Yarrowia lipolytica: one gene and its partners. The protein of the gene in region 2 purifies or fractionates together with the protein of the main gene of each other region. This does not show direct contact. Links are inferred from orthologs where the notes say so. Each region holds a gene or a part of one and is shown on either strand. Other genes may lie near its edges.

Region 1 (7,636 bases), on a different chromosome or scaffold from region 2:
CACTATTGCGCATTTATACGTGGTTATACGTCTTCTTTCTTCGAGTTACATGCCCTGTGTGTAACTGTAAGGAGTGGTACCCCGTCTCGTACAAAACCTGCAACTGTCAATTGTAACCGCACAAGTGCGTGTGTGGGCGTGCTATTGAGTCAGACTTTGACTCATGTGGGCCACCAATAAAAGCCTGAGGATAGAGCCCTCAAAAGTCCCAATGACCTTGTGGGGGTGCTCCGCTTAGCGTGGGGGTCAACCTAAAGGAGGAAGTACCCAAGGAGCTAACCCCAGACTAATAGTACAGTACGCATCCAACAACACACTCAATTGCAACACACAATGCTCCGTATCCGACCACAGTTTGCGCGACAGTCGCTCGCCCGATTGTACTCGACCCAAAGACAGAAGATCCTGTTCCTTGACAACGTGGTGGACGCCAAAGACGAGTTTGAAAAGCTCAAGAAGAAGGCCGACGTGGTGACTCTCAAGGATGGAACTGACCGAGAATCGTTTCTCAAGGACCTCAAAAACACCTACAAGGACATCAATGCCATCTTCCGAACCTTCATCAGTGTCAAAAAGACCGGCCGGTTCGACGAGGAGCTGGCCAAGGCTCTTCCTGAGTCCTGCAAAGCTGTCTGCCATTACGGAGCAGGCTATGACCAGATCGATGTGCCCTTCTTCTCCGAAAGAGGCATTCAGGTCAGCAACGTGCAGTCCATGGCCGACGAGTCGACTGCTCTCACGAACCTGTATCTAATGATCGGCACCCTGCGAAACTTCGGAGACGGAGCTCTCAACTTGCAAAAGGGCCAATGGCTCAAGGGAGTGGCCCTGGGCAACGACATCTCCGGCAAGACTCTCGGAATTCTCGGTATGGGCGGAATCGGCCGAGAAATCAGAGACTACGTGGCTCCTCTGGGTTTCAGCAAGGTGCTGTACTACAACCGAAATCGCCTGGCCCCCGAGCTGGAAAAGGACTCTGTCTACTGCCAGTCGCCTGAAGATCTATTTTCCAAGGCCGATGTCATTTCCATCAACGTGCCTCTTAATGCTGCTACCAAGCACCTCGTCAACGCAGAGTCCATCTCCAAAATGAAGGACGGAGTCATCATTGTCAACACCGCTCGAGGCCCTGTTTGCGACGAGAAGGCCCTAGTGGACGGTCTAAACTCTGGAAAGATTGGAGGAGTCGGTCTCGATGTATTCGAGCGAGAGCCTGCCATTGAAGAAGGTCTTTTGAAACACCCTAGAACCCTGCTTCTGCCTCATATGGGAACCTGGTCCCACGAGACCCATTTCAAGATGGAGAAGGCGGTTCTGGACAACCTCGAGAGCTTTGTTGATACTGGAAAGGTTATCTCCATTGTTCCTGAGCAGAAGGGCAAGTTTTAAAATGGTAACAACTAACATAGATAGGGGGAGGGGGAGCTACAGTTTCCAGTAGCTAAGTAAGTACAAGTAGAGCTAAACGCATAAACATGCATTGTGTAGAAAGTACAATTGTAAGACACAGTAGTTTACCCATATGCACCTGCACGAGACGATAATGCGCGGGGAAAACAGGTCACGTGAGATGAGGTTTTGAATGCGGATTGTGGCTCACAAGCATGATAAACAGTTAGTTAGGTAAAACTATATGAGAATATAGACCTAAATTTATCTCTAAACATTGTTAATAACATGGCTTCTCCAGATTAACATTGCTGACGTAATTTAAAAATAGGATTACATATTACGACAACCCGGAAGCTAAATTAAATACGAGCATATACGAGATGAGATGATTTTTTCTTGAGTAACTGACTACAAGTACCGGACCGGTACTTGTGCTGTAAAAAAATAGTTTTATGTATACACGACCAGCATATTTGGAACATGGGGCTCTCTCAGACAAGCGAACATCATAATCAAACTCAGGTGACCCGGCACAGCGGCGACAGCTGGTTTGCTGATGGATGACCAACAAGTTACTGGCGACAAAGCTTACATTTACTGAATTCGATGATGCTTGTATGAATGGTTCTATCTACCCAAATGTTTCACTTGAAAGGCGCACTAAAGATGGAGCTCCTATATCAGAAGGGTTACAGAATTGAGTATTATAAGGGCTCCGGCGGCCATAGTCGAACCACTGTGGGCCTGGAGAACACTTCAAATATCCCAACACACACTACGATACGCACAACAGACGACCTGTGTGCGCACCACAACATACAATCTCAAATGATATAAATACTAAATACTAAATACTACCGAATCGTACCCGCAGTACATTTTTTGCATCCCTGAAACAAACACAAGCTTACTTCTTGAGAGCAGCAAGCATCATCTCCTTGGCCTTCTCCAGACCCTCGGGGGAGCCCCGCACGGTCACGGCAGAGTCAGCAACACCAGCCTTGGGGATGTAGATCTTGCAGCCAGACTTCTCTCGGATGTGAGACACGGTGGCTCCATGAGGACCCACCAGGAATCGGTATCGAGAGGTGTCAGGGAGCCACAGGTATCCGGTCTGAGTGTGCTTGAGAGCAACATCCAGAGCAGCCTCAATGATGGCCTTAGCCTTGGCAACGTTCTCGTCAGAGCCCTCAAGCCTCCAGGGGATGGTGCCGTTGGCAGCGTGGTCGACAGCGTCCTCGACAACAGACCATCGGAACGAGTCCTTGTCCTCAGAATCGGAGCCAATGGCACCAGCGGGGACAACGGGGTTGCCGTCTCGAGGAGTTCGGACAGAGCCGTGGTCAACGTTAACCTTGAGTTCGTACTTGAGCTTTCGGGGCAGGTTTCCGTTGTCGGACACAGTGGTGTGCAAGGTTCGGGGGACCAGAATTTCCTCCTTCCACTTGTCCTGGGACAGCTCCTGGATCTTGGCCTTGGCGGTAGCGACATCCTCAGCCTTACCGGTGATGGAGACGCCGGTGTCGAGCTCTCCATCCTTGTTCTTGGCGCCCTGCTTGGGGATCTGCAGAGTAACCTTGAACTTCTCCTCGAGGGATCGCTTGGCAGCACCTCCAGCTCCAATGAGATCTCGGTGCTTGGAAACGGGCACATCAACAACCTCAGAGATCTGGGACTCCCGCTCGGCAACCATGTCCTGGATGATTTTGACAATCTTGGCCACAATCTTCTTGGAGCCCTGGACTCGCACCTTGTTATCCTTGGTGCCGGCAGCAGGAACAGCAACGGTTCGAGCAGCAACGGAGGGGGTCACGTCGGTCATACCGGCCTTGGTGAGGATGTCTTTGAGAGTCTGACCGCCGGGACCGATCAGAGCACCGTGGAACTTGGGGTTCACCTCAATGTGCTCAATGACAGTGTCCTGGAACTCAGAAACGATAGCCTGGATCTTGGCAGCAGCCTCCTTGACGCCGGCCTTTGTACCAACAATTTCAATGTCAACGTTGCCGGTCTCGTCGGTGTTATCCGACTTCTCCTGCTTGACGTCGATTCGAGTGTTGGTGGAGTCCTTGATGTCGTTGATGAACTCTCCGCCTCGACCAATGATTCGGGGCAGAGACTTGACGGGGACGGAAATGGTCTGCGAGTGCGAGTTCTCAATCTCGTAGTTTACGAGATCCAAAATCTCCTCCTTGGCCTTCGCCACACCCTTGGAGGGACCTCGAAGGACGATCTCGTTGGCGTTCTCCTCACCGGTCTTGGGGAACCGAATTCGAACGTCATACTTCTCCTCCAGTCGCTTGACAAACTTGCCACCAGTTCCAATCAGAGAGGCGTGGTGGTCAGCAGGCACAGGAAGCTTGACGTTGACCTCGTCGGCAATCTTCTTGGCGAAAGCCAGAATCTGAACCTTGGCCTCGTCGGCGTTCTTCTTGATACCCTTGACAACACCCTGACCGGACTCGTCGAGATCGATGTTGACGCCGTACTCACGGAACTTGGCGAGCTGGGAGCCGCCCTTGCCAACAACATGCTTGACATGCTCGGGAGGGATCTGGAATTCGGTGGTGTACTGGGACAGAACAGCATAGTTCTTGCCGTCCTCCACTGCCTCCTCGATCTCCTTGAGCACTCGGGTGACCTCATCCTTGAGACCCCGCACGTAGATGGAGTCCGCAGAAACGGGCTCCTCAGCGTCCTTGATCTCGTCACCAAAGGTGACTCGGACAAAGGGCTCGTGGCCCTCGGTTCCGCCAACAATGGCTCGAAGGGTAGTGTTATCGGGACCTCGGACAAACTTGTGTTCGCCAACGGGGACGGAAATTAGCTTGCCAATGATCTTGGCCTGCTTCTCTCGAATATCGGCAAAGGAAGAGTCGACAGCAGCAAAGGTGGCCTTGATCTCGTCGGCGGAGGGGCCGAAATCATCCTCCTCAGAGGTGCCCTCGTAGATGAGAATCACGTCACCGTTAACCTTGGGGTTCTCGGGCACCAGGACAGTGACTCCGTGGTCCTTCTTGTACTTGGCCAGGTTTCGGTCCTTGGGGCCAGCGAGGTTTCGCAGGAAAAAAGGATCAATGTCAGACACTCGAGAGACCTTGGAGGGCTCGTACTTGTTTACCAGAGCCACAATGGCCTTTCGGGCAGCCTTGACAGCCTCCTCGTTGGGACCAGAGGTCTCGATAGTGACGGCCTGGGCGCCAGGAGCGTAGAGCTGATCGGGCTGCTGGATGTAGATTTCGACCTTGTACTCGTCAGCAATCTTCTGGAGCATACCAGAGGCCTTGAAGTAAGAAGCCAAAGCCTGGGCATGGGGCACGCTCTTGCCATGTGCTCGAGAAATGTCCAAAAGATCAATCTTGACGGAGTTAACCTGCTCAGACACCTTGTTCATGGCGGGCTTGATGTCCTTGGGCAGACCCAGGAACTTGACGGTGTCATCGGAGGTGTTGGGGGCCTGGGGCACAGTGATAAACACGGAGGTGGCGGCAAAGACATCCTTGGCAGAAATGTACTTGTGCTTGGAAGCAGGGAAGGACTCGGTGGAGGTGATAAGGTCGGTGGACAGAGACTCTGCAAGACGCTCAAGTCGTTCCTTGACGGTAGCGGTGGCCTCTCGGTCGCCAGACAGAGTGATGGTGGCGGCCGTGGTGAAGTTGGGAGCAAAGATATCAGGGATGCTGAGCTTGACGTCGTCCTCGCCCTTGGTGAGGTCTCCGGCGGTCTTGTCAAGGAAGGGGAACAGCACATAGTTGACGTTTCGAACTCGGATGGTCATGTTCTTGACTCGCTCGGACACAATGGCAAAGATCTCTTGCTTGGCAATAGCAATACCCTCAGAGTCACCCTCGACGATGACCTCGACCGTCTCCTCGTCGTCGTCGGCGTTGTTGCCGTTGGACTCGAGCTTCTCAATCTGGATATGGGCACCGGACTTCTCAAGAATGGGCTTCAGGTTGGAACCTCGAGGGCCAATCACAGCAGCTCGCACGCTAGCGGGGATCTCAAACTTGGCGACAATCTTCTGGGACAGGGCTCGGTGCAGCTCACGTCGGGCCTTGGCCACGTTCTCGGGGGTACCCTTGATGACAAAGGAGGTGTGGCCCGTAATCTTGGAGGTGGACGAGTCGATGGTAGTGGAGGTGTTGGCCTTGACCTTAGCAATGATCTTGGGCAGCTCGGATCGCACACCAACCTGCTGCTCCTCTCGCTTGAGAGTGAAGACATCGGAGATAGTGGTGGAAGCGGCTCGACCAAAGGACTGAGGGGAGGGGGCAGCGGGAGCAGAGCCTCCCTTACCCCAAACAGCCTTGGGGGCAGCGGCACCACCATTAAGAGCGGGGAAAGCCTCGAGAGAGTTGATATCGAGACCCTTTCGCTTGGAGGCGGCGGAGGGACCGGCGACAGACTTCACGGGGGCGGCAGGGGCAATCTCGGGAACGGGAGAAGACTCCTTGGACAGAGAGCCCTCAGAAACGGTGAGGGTGGGCTCGGCGGCAGCGCTCACGGCAGCATGTCGTTGCCGGAGAAGCTCAGCGGGGGACAGGTCGGACATCTGTGTTAGTGGGGTGGTGGTGGGGGTCGTCATGTCTTGACAGCATCTTGTGTGGCACAAGCACACACATCAGATAACTGTTGGTGTAACATGTATAAATGAGATCCGGCAGATGTCAGTTGATTCAATGAATTATCCAGGGCATGCTCCAGTGTACAAGGACTGTGTCCACTTGTGCATCTCCTTTTTGGTCTCCATGGAAACAGATCAAATGAGACACTGTTTAGCCATAACGCAACCTCTGCGGCATCAACACTCGGATCCTCGGTCTCAATTCATACTCACTTCAACAAAAACAAACAAACAAACAGGGAGGGGACCAGACAAACAAAACTCTTCAAGTTCTGTATTCCAAACGGGGTTTTGGGGGTAGAGAGAGTTTTTGATGGGGATGAAAAATAGACGCCAACCTTGTCTTGTGGAGGTGACACGTTGTGCATAGCGACACGACTGGTTGGGGGCTACCCTAATACAGCATGATGCAATGCACAGAGCCCCAAACACCTGTCAAAAGTGCTTGAATGTTGCTCAGAAGTAGAGCAACGACATACGGACCAGAAGAAACAGTGGTGAATGACAGAGCAGAACTTCCATTGTAGTTGCAACAACTATATACGACGATATTCTGACGATACTTTCTGTTCCCTCGTGTTGCATGATGCCCGAGAAACTCTGAGCTTATATATATTTCAACATTTCACGACGATGATGGTGATAATCATGGTTGAGAAGGAATGAGTCCGATTTGGCGCGGCAAAAATTTGGCGTCGCAAAGATGACTGTAACGCACTAACATCGTCATCTGCAGAAGCAAAAAGCTTTGTAATGTCATTTTCCAAAAAAGGGCCGAGCAGGGATTTGAACCCTGGACCTCTCACACCCAAAGCGAGAATCATAGCTACTAGACCACACGGCCGGTTATAAAATTTTTGCGTTGAATCAATAGGATCTGAAATATCACCGAAATCACGTGACCAGATTTTTGGACGAGTTTTTCAGAGTGGATAATGCTTCGATATGTGTCGGAGTTTTTCTAAGGGGGAAAAACTTGACTCGAAATTTTACCTAAAGTAATAATATATGCGATAAACGTTTTTGTTTATCTCGTTATGTTAGATTATGTATTTTCAGATCTCCGTGATTATATAAGCGAAACCCGTTGTTTGTCACAAAAAAGTGGACATGGTTATGTAACGTGAGATGAGAAAATGACGCTAATACATCTTAAAATTCATCGTGGTATGATCATTTCAGCAAACTCTTCATGATAATCATTTGTCTCAACTTACTCCAATTATATTTACTTACGTATCAGAACCTCGTCTCACCTTCTGTTGAGCCCGCAAACCTCAGTTTTTTTTGGCTACTATTTTGATTTGCACGCTGTGAAACATGAAACACCTTCGGTCGTGTTTTTAGAAACGGATCATCGCTCAGCGCACGGCATATTTCTTCCTTTTCTGCTCAGATCGATCATCATGAGATTAGCTCAAAGGATGAAAGTAGAGTCAGATTCAGGTCAGGACCGTATAGGACCTCTTTATTTGTGCTGCTACTTGTACAAGTAGTGAGAGTGTGGGAATCCGAAAAGTGACGTAATAGTCTGCTGATAATAAATCCTGAAACGTGGACAAGAACTTATCTGGAGTGGTGTGGGATTGGACATGGATATATTTTTTCACATCGTAT
Region 2 (7,426 bases):
ATCTATACAGAACCAGGTCTCGTACGTTTTCGACCCGCTCCTTGAGCTTGTCGTCCAGCGGCTTGAGACCGGCATCGGGAAGATCCTCGGCCGTGTCAAGAAACTCGGTGCCCTCTTCGTACTGCACGTAGCCCTGCTTGGCGAGTTTTCGGATAAACACCTCGGAAATGGCAGAAGTGAGAACCGAGGGAACATCAGGATGTCGTTTCATGATCTTGGATACGTTCATATCGGCATCGGGATGGTCCATCTTGTTGAGAGCCAGAACGGTGGGGAACTTTTCCCTGGTGAAAGCCCGAACAACTTCACTGATCTTATCATCATCCCACTCCTCCATGGGTGGCAGAGTCAGCTTGTCGATTGCCCGATGGACAATATCCTTGTTGGATCCGTAACCGGAAAACTGATTCTGCAGTGTGTCCACAATATGGCTCTTGGTAGAGGTGTGCCTTCGAACAATAGATCCCCATTTCTCCTTGAGGTTACCTTCGATCCACCGGAAGATTTCATCCTGAAGCCATTCAATGTCATTGACAGGGTCGTAGCCTCGCGTGTTCTTGCCCTCGGCATCGGTTGTTCCTGACACGTCCACCACGTGGATCAGAGCGTCAGCATGTCGCAAATCGTCCAGAAACTTGTTTCCCAGTCCTCGGCCCTGGTGCGCTCCCGGTACCAAACCAGCCACATCTAGCAGCATGATAGGCACGAAACGGCGTCCATCTTTACATGTGCCGTAGTTGGGCTTGCACTTCTCCTGGACCTTGAACCGCGCACAGGCACAATCTATTTGCAGGTAGCCCGTGGCCTTGTTGGGGTCGATGGTTGTGAAGGGAAACGAGCCTGTTTTGGCGGTTGCATCTGTTAGCGAGTTGAGAGTGGTCGACTTGCCGCTACTGGGCTTGCCGACGATTCCAATTAGCGGGTCTCTGGCCATGTTCGGGTCGTTTTGCGCCTGGTGATATGTGAGAGAGAGATGTTGCAACTCAGATGTTAGGGTAAGAACCTAGATGGAGACAAGACAACAGTGAGTCAGCATAGCAAAGAGAGGGCATGGAAGGTATAAACAGGCTGGAGGGGCATCGGAGTCGATTTGAAAATCCCTGTTTTTTTAAAGGGCATTTTTTCAGTTGCGTTTCTGACATTTGTTACATTTTTTTTCCCCACCACCCGAAACTTTTGCTTCAATTTTTCACCTTGATACTGATCTGAAGATAAGTCTACCGGGGGTGGAAATTCGTTGAAAAATAGATGGATTCGCTCCAAAAAACACACGGAAAGGGTCATTTGTACAAGTACTTGTACTCAATACTGTTTGGAATATAGTCATCGTTGCAAATTCGTGGATATATGCATCGTCGCATTCACCGTAACCTCTCAAGTAAAAAGTCAACTATTTCCAGACAACAAGCAGACTTATTTCACAGCAAACGGAAACATAATTGTATGACAAAACATGTATATTATTGAATATTAGTTATTAAATGCTGTATTTGGTATAGAATAACGTGCCTATAAAAACTCCACCGTTTTCGGAACAGCAGATTTGGACCCCCTGCGGACTTCTCATCCCAACAAATTTCAATTAAACTAGTTAAAAAGCTAGGCTACTTGATAACGGATGATGATTCCACGAAAAAAAACAATAAAAATAATACATTGTTGTAACAGGAACGGGCAGAGGCTCTGTACATTGTATAGATAGATTATTCGATTACAGTACATACGCCGACAACCCTCGGACAAGGTCCTGGTGTGGGTGTCGACTACATCCATATCATACATGTATTTTAGTATTTTTACGCAACGACCTAAGTAACTAAGTAACTTAAGAAGACTGCATGATCTGCCAGACTCGGATGACGTTGTCAGTGTAACCAGCAAAGAGGTTCTGGCCGTCAGCGGACCAGGTGAGGGACAGAGCCTCGGGCTCCTTACCGTCCTCGGAGGTGGTCTGGGTCTTGAGCTCGTCAATCAGCACTCGCTTCTCCAGGTCGAAGACCTTGATGGAGGAGGAGGTGGCGGCGCAGAGCCAGTATCGGTTGGGGGAGAAGCACACGGCATGGACCTCATCACCAGCAGGGAGGGTGTAGAGGGCGGTGGAGGAGGTCAGATCCCACAGGAGGATAGAGCCGTCCTTACCGGCAGAGGCGCAGAGGGATCCATCGGGGGAGATGGTGATGGTAGACACGTATCCGGTGTGGCCGAGGTGGTCAGCCTTGAGAGTGCAGGTATCGAGGTCCCAGACCTGAGTTAGTATGTGCAATTGTATCACTAGCGATGAGCTAGCTGGATGCAAGCAGTACCAGAGCGTGGGATTGTCAAAAGTGACCTGAGGATATGATCAAGATGTCGAAGACAGTCTCAAAAACATCCAGAGACCAAGCCCAACTTGTTCAGCACAGCATATGTTGTGGCACACATTTCAACTCCACAAAGGTCCAAACAAATCAGATAATATGGATTTTTGTCTCATAGCCTTTCGGGCTCTGAAGTAGCAAATATTCATGTTTTTCCGTTAAATCATCATGCTGTTTGGGGGCAGAACGCCCAAAATGGTATCACTTGTGAAGTTGCAAAGCCTTGGTTACACAACATGTGCGCTATGCTTTGCTCTGCTCTGCTTGTTAGTATTTGTCGTCTGATACTCACCTTGACCTTCTTGTCCCAGCCAGCAGAGATGATGGTGTTGGCGTTGGGGGAGGGCTCCTCCTCGTCCTTGGTGGCGGGGTTGAATCGGACGGTGGAAACCCAGTCCTCATGGCCCTTGTCGGTGATGGTGTACTTGCACTCGCCGATGGTGTTCCAGATCTTGATGGTTCGGTCTCGGCCGGCAGAGACAATCTGTCGGTTGTCGGGAGAGAAAGAGACGGAAAGAACGTCACCAGTGTGGCCGACAAATCGGTCCTTGGAGACACCGGTCTTCAGGTCCCAGACTCGGAGAGTCTTATCCCAAGAGCCGGAGATGGCGTAAGCACCGTCATGAGAGATGGCACAGTCCTGGACAATGTGGGAGTGGCCCTTAAGAGACTTTCGGGGAACACCGTAGTTGGTGTCGTCTCGGGTCAGAGACCAGACAATCAGGGACTTGTCTCGGGATCCGGACAGCAGAATGTCGGGGTTGTTGGAAGAAGTAGCGAGGGAGGTAACCCAGCCGTTGTGGCCTATGTTAGTGGAGTTTCGGGGGAGGTTTGCGCCAAGCCTGGCCACGTATGTGAATAACACGAATCAAACAAGTTGACAGTGACTGAAAAAAGAAGTGTTTTCGAAGCAATCATGGCTCTCAACCATTCAAAATGCCTTGTCTTTACAGATCAAAGCCGTTCATTGTCGCCCGTATTTGTCCTCCTTCAGTGCCAGCAGTCGATTCTGTCGTTGATTCATCCAGTCCCCAATCAATCATTCCTTCAGAGTCGAATTGTTCCGTCGTTGTGTTCCCTCCTTCAGTAGCACTCACCCTCAAGGGTTCCTCGGAGAACAAGAAGAACGTTCTGGCTCATGTTGTATTATGCTAACTGGACCGTGAGAAATTTCCTGCGCGCAGTTGGAAATGACAAGATATCAAGGGCGCGGTGAAGAAGCTGCGTGAGTGGGTTGCATAATAAAGTTCGTGACCGCTTTTTCTAAACGGGAAGGTAGTCACGTGAGACAGGTCACCGGGGTTCGATTCCAGCTCCTCACAAGTGGCTTGCTTGCATTCAAAATGCACAATCGGATGGTGGGCGACCACGACTGTCTCGAATGATGAGGAATATTCCAGGCGGCGCTTCTACAATAGCCGGGATGCTGGTTTCAGACTTCGTATTGCCATTAGAACAAGGTAATAGCTTAACTAGGGCTGTGAATTAGACGGCAAGTCCAACTATAAGTCAAGTAGTTTCAAAGTGTAGGACGGAAAGCCCAACCAAACTAGTTAAGTATTCTGGGCAGACCAACGATGAAGCTATCAGGTGTTGGAGATGAGCGTTCAAGCAAGCGTGGTGGATTGAATAATGAGGGTTGAATAATAAGGGAAGATGAAGGAGTTCGGCTGGAAGAACCGATGAGCACCCTCTCAGACAGCCTACAACTAACTAACGCTACCGGTACGAGAGTAGATGCTGCGCTATGGTAGGGGAAATCACTGACCAGAATACCATCAGCGCAGTCCATACCGGTTGAGGAGGCAGACTTTATACTATCTGTATCATAGAGGGAATCTGGTGTGCTACAATGTGCTCCGACATTGACCATGATTCACAATGTCTAGATCATCATGGATCAAGCTCCGAGTACATACTGTCAACTCCGGTTAACTCCGAACATTGATATCTTCAAAAGCAACAACACGATGGGCATGTTCTCGCAGGTCCAGTCCTTATGACATGTTGCGGCGGTAGTTTAGATATACGGGGGATGCTGGGTCACAGTGGACGCACAGGCTGGTCTGAATAACGGCAACAGCTCTGCAATTGTGGATGATACTCCCCTCGAGAAGAAGGAAAAAACCTCAAGTATTGTATGTACGAGTACTTGTACCAGATTTGTGAGTTTTACTGCTTGTAATATAACTGTTGAACGACATATTGAACCGAACCAACAGCACAAATTGTCGTGTACAACTACAAGAAGCAACCACTTTCAACTACTTTTTACTTTTCTCACGATCATCTTCATGGAGAGACGCTACATACTGCACCAAGTCTCTCACTCGAACATGATAAATGGATGTCAAAAGTGTGAGCACATGAAGGGGGAGCAGTCAAATACACTGGGCTACTGGTACTGATACCAGTTCGTCCTGCATACCTCTCAAGAAAAGACTCTTGCCAGAGACTGTATAACAGTATGTTCAATCTCACGAAAGCCCTTACTTTCCCCGGATCAGCACCTCAGCACCAGCCAGTCCATAGTCTCATTCACAACATGCTATCATTTATCATTACAGTATCCATTCTAAACATCCTTCATCTCTTTATCCTTGTCCTCCTCGGCCCCCTCGGCCCCCAACATGCCCTTGATCTGGTTAATTATCTTGTCGTAGTTCTCCAATGACGTCCATTGGGCCTTGGTGTCCGTGTTAATGGGAAGCACCTTGTCGCGGCTAAAATCATTCAGTCGCTTGATTTCCTTTCGCAGTGTTGTCGACACCTCCTCCAGCGACTGTAGGAACTCAATGGAGTTGACCTTGAATGCAGATTTAAGAGAGGGCAGACCCTGTTGAATGCCCGGTTCCCAGCCCTTGTCGCCCTCCTTGAGCTCAAAGCTGTTGATATCCAGCTCCGACCGTGGAATCAGCAGATCAATCGCGTTCGACAGCGTCTCTGTCATCTTGGCAATCTTCATATCCGTCTTGTGTAGCGATTCCAGCCGCTCAGACACCTCGTCTTGACCCATAGGAAGGGTCGCCAGATCCGTCGCGTGGCTATCGTCTAGAGTGAGCGCTCCACCCGTCGGCGTTTCCGTCGCAATCTCCATCGACTCGTCCCCCACCGCAATCGGTTCTTCCTTCTTGCCTTCGTCCGCCATGGTGTATGAGTGGTGATGAATGCAAGGTCAGAGTCTAAGCTAGCGATAGTGCAGACATGATGAAGAAAAGCACAAGCAGTACCATAATAGAGATGAGTGATGCCGATGGAAAGACATTTATTATGCTGCAACGACTTCCAAATCACAACTAATTAGATTAAAATCATCAAAAAAGAGACAGGAAACCACATTGTGGCGGTTCTCAAAACAAAAAATTAATTGCCATCACCCAGAATCGAACTGAGGTTTCCACGGCCACAACGTGGTGTACTAACCACTATACTATGATGGCAGGCAATATAACTTCAGAGGCAGTCTGGACAATGATATCCAAATTCCATTGATTTTTTGGCCGATTTTTAAACCACCATTTATCTATCAGAAGAGCAAAATATGACACGATACCGATTGGAAGTGTGATAAGAGAGTCCCAATTTCGCTTCGATAGGCTTTACGATGGGATAAACACCACAGTATCGTTGCTGTAAGGTGTTCAGCGCGGACCCTTTTCTCGCACAGTGCCCCGTGCCATGTTTGCACAGCTTTGGACGGATTGAACGTAGGCGTCGGTATAAACCTGTCCACAGTGATCATCGAAAGAACAAAGAGGGCTCATAGATTGAGAAGTAGTAGTTATAACTCCTTGATATACGTTCATAGCTGTAGTACAGTGCATAGCTGTAGTACATACAGTGGTCTCATACCTTCCCTCCACCCATATGCGATCACCATCAGCTAGAGAAGATATTCTGAGACTAGAACAAGTTGCCAGGTTTATTAATCAGATGAAAAATCGTTTACACCAGGAGTCTCACTGGTTCTATAGCTGTCGCTAGAAGTAGTCGCAAGCATACACGAAACCTCTACAAGTACATACAGTACAAGAAGTACTACCACACTCGATATCTGTTGAAGGGAGCCGACTCCATATATTCATAAATAAAAAGCCGATTGGCCAGGTCATGTGTCTGTTGAAGGATGGGTATGTGTAGTCCAGTGGTCTACTTCTGAGGGGTGTTTCGGTAGAAATGGGTAGGGCACTGGTATCCACCGGGCTCCTTGAAGAGGTACTCCTGATGGTAGTCCTCGGCGTCCCACCAGTTCTGGATGGGCTCAATGTCGGTGGCAATGGGGTCCTTGAACCACGTGTCTTGCAGCTTCTGCTTGACGCCCTCGGCAATCTTCTGCTGCTCGGACGAGTGTGTGAAGATGGCAGATCGGTACTGCGACCCGATATCGGGGCCCTGGCCGTTGGCCTGTGTGGGGTCGTGGATCTTGAAGAAAAAGTCCACCAGCTGCTCGTAGGACACCTTGGCGGGCTCGAACGACACCTGCAGGGCCTCAGCGTGGCCTGTGGTGCCCGAGCACACCTTTCGGTACGAAGGATCTTCCGTGTTTCCTCCCGAGTAGCCTACTTTGGCGTCCACAAGCCCCTTGTCGGCAAAGTGCTTTCTGTACATGTGTTCGACTCCCCAAAAGCAGCCCGCGGCCACGGTGAGAAGCTCCGAGGAGGCGGTGGTCTTGAGAGTGGGCGAGACGGCGGGCATTGCTGCGGTGGCGGAGGACAAATGACGGAGGAGAAGGCTTGATCTAAGCATGGCAAGCTGGGAAAAATAGATCCGCGTCTAAAGGTAGGTTTGCCACTGTGCATAGCGTGCATGTTGGGATGCCATAGCCGGTGCAAGTTTCCGTTGCTACTTGTAAATTACTCAGAGCCCAAATGTATGGATATGGGTCCAACAACGCAACGGCGCCAAACGGCCCTGCACATGTGGCTGGTGGGGGGCCCCTTGTATCATGTCACGTGATGTCCGGATGGGATGAAGCGCAGTATTGTACGTACTTGTACTCAGCGCAGACACTTGAGCTCAAGCCACTATTACACCTACTTGTAGCATACTACCACCCGTGGCTTGGTGGC
Region 3 (6,128 bases), on a different chromosome or scaffold from region 2:
CTTCGAGGTCTCATTCAGAACGCTCAATGGGACCGGGAGCTTCTTAAGAGCAAGCTGGGTGACGGCAACGACGACTGGGTTGAGCTTCTGGAGAAGTGTTTGACCGTGGATCCTGAGGAGCGTGCCTCTATTCGTCAGGTTCTGACCTCCTCTGTTTTTGAATCTCTGGCTGAAGCCCTTGTTAGTGACACTCAATAGAGAGTGACCACACTCAAAACCAAAAACAACAACCATCGCTACTAACAGTCTTTTGCATGTGTCAACCTTTTACATAGACACCTTATGAATAATGAATATATTGCATGAAACAATAATAATACACCCACTACCAGTACAGTCCAGTGCTCGTACTGTATATACTGTAGGTATATTACATACAATACACCGTAAATTTTAGATGTTCTTGTCGTTTGTTACAGATGGCATAGCATATGGTTTCTTTCAAGTGTCAGAAGCATACATCTTCGCTCCAGTCACTCTGTCATTGACAGATATCATAAATACTAAATATAAACTACTCAGACACTTCCTTTCTCAAGTCCCGGACATCTTCTCTCACCTTTTTGGCCTCGTCAATCACCTCATCAACTTCACCTTCGAGCACTTTTTTCTCAGCGTCCTTTTCCAGCTCATCGACCTGGATGCTCGTCTTATTTTTGTCCTCCTCCAAATCCTTGTTTCCCTTTTTCAGCTCGTCCAGCTCCTTGAGAGCCTTCTCAGCCTTTGCTTCGGTCTCATCAGCCTCTTTTTGAATCTCCTCCTTCAACACGGCCTTCTCGGCCTCATCTTCTATGTCCTTCACCGTCTGGTCGGTCTTGTTGACTCGACTGGTGCCTGTTTCGGCCTCATTGTGTCGCTCCCACAGCTGTTCAATATTGAATCTGGCAAGTCCCTCGTACTCCTCAACGTTGCCAACAACAGACATTCCAATGGAGGCCTTGAAGCAGTCGACGAGAATGAGCTTGTCGTAGTTCTTGAGGTCGACAGAATGGCCGTGGTCCTGGCCCACTCGAGAAGCGACTGACTGGATAACCTCGTCTCGGTTCATGCCGTCGAAATTTCGCATCGTCGGTCGAATGGCGTACTTGAGCGGTTTCTGACCCTCCTTCAGGTGAAAGTGGGGACCCAGAACAATATCACACAGCTTCTCCAGCTCGGGCTTGCTAGCACTGCAAGTCAGAGTGACGGGAGTCATACGCTGAACAAACCGAGTGGACTTCTTTCCAGTGTCCTTGACTCCTTGGCAGATGGCCTTGACAAAGTCCACGGGCACCACGGGCTTTCTGGTTCGCACAAATAACATGCATTCACATCCCAGAGGCAATGGAGTGATGAGATCCTTCTTGGTATCCTTCATGGCAGCCACCTCGGCAGCCATGGCCTTATCAATGTCGTCCACGTCTTCAATGTCGTCGCCTTCCTCGTCGTTTTCCACCACAGTCGTTCCATACAGCTTGTCGCACCACTCGTTCATCATCAGTCGCACCTCGTTCTTGGCCATGTTTTCCTTGCCTCGGGTGTAACTTACGTACACTCCCTGGTAGCGGGGTTCCACATTCTTGATGGCTCCGGGCAAGTACCGCGCCTTTTTGTTGCGCTTGTTGGCGTCTCCTGATCCGCTTCGTTTGCCCATGATGTGTTTGTATAGTGGTGAGATGCTGGTCCAAAAAAAAACTGAAAAAAGTTTAGATCGCAGATGATCTTGCTGGAACTACTGTACAACTAGTGCCGGAGCTATGAGAGCTGATGTTGAACGGTAAGCAATAGGGCGAATGTTGAGAGAATATGCAAGGCGTATGTTCAAGCCAATCTGATTTTGTTGGCGGAGTAACATCGACAAAGCAAGACTATGGGAATGAGTGTTCTCTCTAGCTGCCCAAGTATACGTTTTTTTGGCTGCTACTGTTGCAGAAGTGAAACATCGGGCGGTAGAGGCAGGATTCAGGCGAAGACTATATATAATCTCTCATACAACACTGAAGCAACAATTTGTTGATCCAGCTGCCTATACTTGTACACTACCACTGGCACCCAAGTATCAATGAGTTGTATATGAGAAGTATTCTGGGTACTGTACAAGTTGTCGTATGTATATTCTCTACTAATGTTACAGTATGTACAGTACCTACTTACTGCAACTTTCCTTGACCGATACTACTGGTATTGCACCAGTACAATACGATATCTAGGGCACACAATGGACACCCTGTCTACAACATCTCTCATACAATCGTAAGTAGTTTTAAACTCTTTGCTTATGGTCGCATACGACGACCGATTTTAATAGTTCACGAATAGATTACTCGCAAACCTCCTCCTTATCTTCGACAACAACCTCCTTGATCTCCTCGATGGTGGTGTACTCGGACTCGGCAGGCTCGGGCTCGACAAGACCCAGCTCCTCGAGCTTCTTGTCAGTCTGGGCTCTCCAGGCGGTCCACTCCTCGAGCAGTCGCTTCCGCAGCATGATAAGCTCTCGAGAAGCCTCGGAAGCCTCCATGGCGTCGATCTCCTCAAACTTTCGAGAGTACTCCTCCAGGTTGTTTCGGATATCCTTCTTCTGCTGCTTGGAGAGCAGAGTAGGGGGTCGGGGTCTCCAGGAAAAGTGCTTGAATCGGTCAATGGACTCCTCTCGCTGCAGCTGGCCTCGGAAGTCCCAGATCTTGTATCCGTTTTCGGTGTGGTGTCTCCAGTAGGAAGACCAGGTGGCGACAAACCGTCCAGAGGGATCCCACTCGAGAGCAGAGATACCGTAGTGCTCGGACGAGCCGAGGAAGTGCAGGTTGGCAGGAAGATCCTTGTCACCGTGCTTTCGGTCACCCTCGTAGTCCATGTCCCAGAAGTCGAGATCGATAGAGTTAGAGCCCTCAATCATGACAGTGATGAGGAATCGACCGTTAGGGGACCAGAACAGAGAGTTACAGTTCTTCTTGTCAAATGCCTTGATCAGCTTCCATGTGCCCTGGGTTCCCTTGTGTCGCTCAAGAGCGTAGAAGGACAGAGTGTGTCGGTTGGCGGGCAGAGGACCGTCGTAGTTGGTGGTGGAGTCCGAGTTGGAAATGGTGACGAATCGGTCTCCGTGGGGCTCCCAGGCCATGTTGGTGACGGTGTCCTTGAGCTCCATAACCTCGACGGGCACTCCTCGCTCGCACAGTCGGAAGAACTCGAGGTTGGTAAAGGTAGACTTCTTGGACTTTGTGTGTCGGTCGACCTTGACGCACAGGAAGCGTCCCTGGTCCTGCCAGTGGATCTTACAATCGGCCACGTTGAACAGGTTTCGGGTTCGCAGCACCTCCTTGTTGGAAGCCTTCATGAGGACCACTCGAGCGGTCTGGTTGCCAATTTCAGGAGTCCAGTAGCAGAGAACAGACTCAGTGGCGGACTTTTGTCGTCCCTCCAGGTTAACAAGAGCAGGAGCCCACTCAAAGTCGACGATACCGGGAGCCTTGACGGACTTCTTATCCAGCAGAGACATGGTCTCGGTCTCGTAGATAGACAGCTGCTCTCCGGGGATCATACGGGCAGCGTACTTGTCGTCAGGAGAGAACTTGAGAATGGGCCAGGACATAGAGGCGCCCTTCTTCTCCGGGGGCATAGCAAAGGTTCGGACGGGAAGTCGAGTCTCGAGGTTCCATACAATGATCTGTTTGCCCTCGTCAGCGGGGCCAAAAGGAATGCTCTTTCGCTTCTCCTCGTCATCAGGGAGAACGAGAGGAACGTTAGACCAGGTGACAAGGAACTTCTCGCAGGGAGAAAACTGCACCATCTTGACGTTGGGATGCTGGAATTTGCAGATAGGAGGAGCCCAGTCGGGGCCACCCCACAGCTGAACACCTTGAGTATGAGTAGACACAAGGTAAGTACCGGTGGGAGACCAGTAGACCTGGGTCTCGGTCCATCGCTCTCGGTCAACGTCAGCCTCCAGAGTATCACCCTTTTTGTTCCAGAAGACTCCGACTGTGTCTCCTCGATGGAGCACAAACTGGTCTCGGCCCTGGGGGTCCATGAGCCAGCTTCGCAGATGTCCCTGTTCCACAAAAGGCTCGGTCTCGGGCTCGACAAACTCCTCGGTTTTCAGAGTGTCGTACTGCATGCCGTACTTCTCCACCTCGGACAGCTTGTTGACAAGCAGCTTATGGTTCTTGTCAAACTGCTTGTTGTGGAAAGACTTGACGGCAGCAGCAGCCATCTCGCCCGTCTCGTACTCAATGAAGACAAATCCGGTGGACTTACCGGTGGCCTCGTCGAAGGGAATAAAGATGCCGTCTTCCTTGATCTTGCCAACAGCGCCAAAGAACTTCTTCATGACGTTGGCCAGGGCTGCCTGCTTGGCCTGGGGAATCACAGGAGCTCCATCGACAACGATGAAAGACTCAAAGCCCTCGTCCGCGTTGACAGCGTACTTCTCCTCCAGATCGGAAAAGTCAATATCGAGGTTATCCTCCACAGTCATTTTTCGTGGTGGTGGTGGTGGTATGAAGGGCCTATAATTTTACCCTTTGATTCAAATCGCACACGCAGCTTTTTTTCACCAAGAGAGGGTAACACAAACCTTAATGTTAATGGACCCAGCATCAGGATCAGGACCGAGCTCATGTGCATACTGTACAGTAGTTTGTTTTCTGGTGGCTATTAGCAATACCGTGGGTTGGTCACGTGATATGGATATCATGGACGCGAAATATTGACACGTGTGTGATATGAGGGGGGTGCAGTTTTCTGATTTGAGATCGGTGCATTATTAGACAGGTTGAATCGTTCTCTGAGAATGAGTCGGGGTTGAGTCGGGGTTGCTTGGTGCCATCTGTGAGAGTGAGTGGAATAACAAGAACCGGTAATTGTGAGCACGTCTACAAGTAGGTCGAGCGTGTAACGTATGGAAGAGTTGCGGTTTTCAGAAGTGGTCATAATTAACGACAATATCAGATATCAGTGTTTGTATATATTGTACTGAAGTCTGTACTGAAGTCTTGTTTGGTTTACTTGGATCAAGGATCTTAGTTAACATTATTAAAGAATGTTTGTTGAAGAATGTTTGAGCAAGCTTGGTCTATCACAAGTACATACCGTCTTCGTACCGTAAGTACTTCAATCGTATAAAACAGTATTTCAATAGTTTCTTACTGCTTTATTTTTGGTACTTGCAGTCTCCAAGCATCTCTCAAATAGACAGTCCACTCATGGACCAAGTGACGAACAGTCTCGTAACATCTGATTTTCTTGAATGCAAATCAACGTGGTGGTGCAAGTACAAGTACAAGATACAAGTACAAGATACAAGTACAAGTAGTCATAAGCCCCCTCCTTCAGGAAAAGTCCCCAGTAGCGCTTTTTAACCCCTCCACCCATGTATAATCTGCCATCTGAAACACCGATTCCTCTAAGAGAACATATGCCAAATGACCTTTGTTGACCTTCTGTCGACATCATTAAACAGGTTAAATGGGCTCTCCATAGCCGTCCTAACCTTTAAGAGCCAAGGAGCAGTCTCGTTCGGGAATAAGACTCTATACTGGTGGCAATTGTACTTGTACTTGTACAGCAGATTTATTTCTACCCCCTGACAAGTCACGTGACCGCACTCACAGGTATATCGAGCCAAAGCCCCCAAGCTACAATGGACATACAAGTACAAGCAAGTAACCTACAGTCGAGAATGTCATGATTCTTCAAGTCACGTGAAATGAATATGCACGAGAGTATAAAGTTAAAGGACTCCAACATAGGGAGGACTTTCTCGGTTACTGTACGTCCCCACGTGTAGTTCGTCTCCTTCCCAAACTCATAACCTGTGTTGTCCTCCCCCAGAAGTTAAAACTCCAGCACAACCCGTGATTTAAAGTTTTCGCTTAACCGCACCTTTGACCAATCCAGATAAGACCTAGGGCCTGCCAAAAGATACACCATTGCTATACACCGCATCACGTGGGAATTATTTATCATACACGTGACCAATCTCTCCAAAAAGGAGATTTCCAGGCCGCGTTTGACACGACATTAAACCCTTCGGGTTAGGGTTTCCGTGCAGTGCAGCATCTGTCGAATGCTGAAACGTGCAACGTCTTCGGTCTCCGATAATTGGATAATTCGCCTATAAGTCCCTTGCTAGAACGAAATGAGCGAACGAG

What was found. The genes of interacting proteins can lie anywhere in the genome.
Region 1: the proteins of YALI1_E23912g (region 2) and YALI1_B28292g purify together in Saccharomyces cerevisiae (affinity purification with mass spectrometry; 3 studies listed by BioGRID). This does not show direct contact. The link is inferred for Yarrowia lipolytica from reciprocal best matches to the Saccharomyces cerevisiae genes ASC1 and SCP160.
Region 3: the proteins of YALI1_E23912g (region 2) and YALI1_F21583g purify together in Saccharomyces cerevisiae (affinity purification with mass spectrometry; 3 studies listed by BioGRID, with this or other methods). This does not show direct contact. The link is inferred for Yarrowia lipolytica from reciprocal best matches to the Saccharomyces cerevisiae genes ASC1 and PRT1.

What each region holds. Positions count from the first base shown.
Region 1 is NC_090771.1:2,827,571-2,835,206, reverse strand, and holds YALI1_B28292g (uncharacterized protein), read right to left. Parts: upstream 5,981-7,636; coding exon 2,300-5,980; downstream 1-2,299. Other genes in the region: YALI1_B28349g (uncharacterized protein), read left to right, coding at 334-1,389. UniProt on the Saccharomyces cerevisiae protein: Involved in the control of mitotic chromosome transmission. Required during cell division for faithful partitioning of the ER-nuclear envelope membranes which, in S.cerevisiae, enclose the duplicated chromosomes.
Region 2 is NC_090774.1:2,388,987-2,396,412, forward strand, and holds YALI1_E23912g (40S ribosomal protein RACK1), read right to left. Parts: upstream 3,498-7,426; coding exon 3,455-3,497; intron 3,162-3,454; coding exon 2,650-3,161; intron 2,246-2,649; coding exon 1,826-2,245; downstream 1-1,825. Other genes in the region: YALI1_E23899g (uncharacterized protein), read right to left, coding at 1-934; YALI1_E23945g (uncharacterized protein), read right to left, coding at 4,933-5,505; YALI1_E23961g (uncharacterized protein), read right to left, coding at 6,507-7,103. UniProt on the Saccharomyces cerevisiae protein: Component of the ribosome, a large ribonucleoprotein complex responsible for the synthesis of proteins in the cell.
Region 3 is NC_090775.1:2,156,715-2,162,842, reverse strand, and holds YALI1_F21583g (uncharacterized protein), read right to left. Parts: upstream 4,454-6,128; coding exon 2,300-4,453; downstream 1-2,299. Other genes in the region: YALI1_F21647g (uncharacterized protein), read left to right, coding at 1-198; YALI1_F21612g (uncharacterized protein), read right to left, coding at 515-1,633; YALI1_F21567g (uncharacterized protein), read left to right, coding at 6,116-6,128. UniProt on the Saccharomyces cerevisiae protein: RNA-binding component of the eukaryotic translation initiation factor 3 (eIF-3) complex, which is involved in protein synthesis of a specialized repertoire of mRNAs and, together with other initiation factors, stimulates binding of mRNA and methionyl-tRNAi to the 40S ribosome.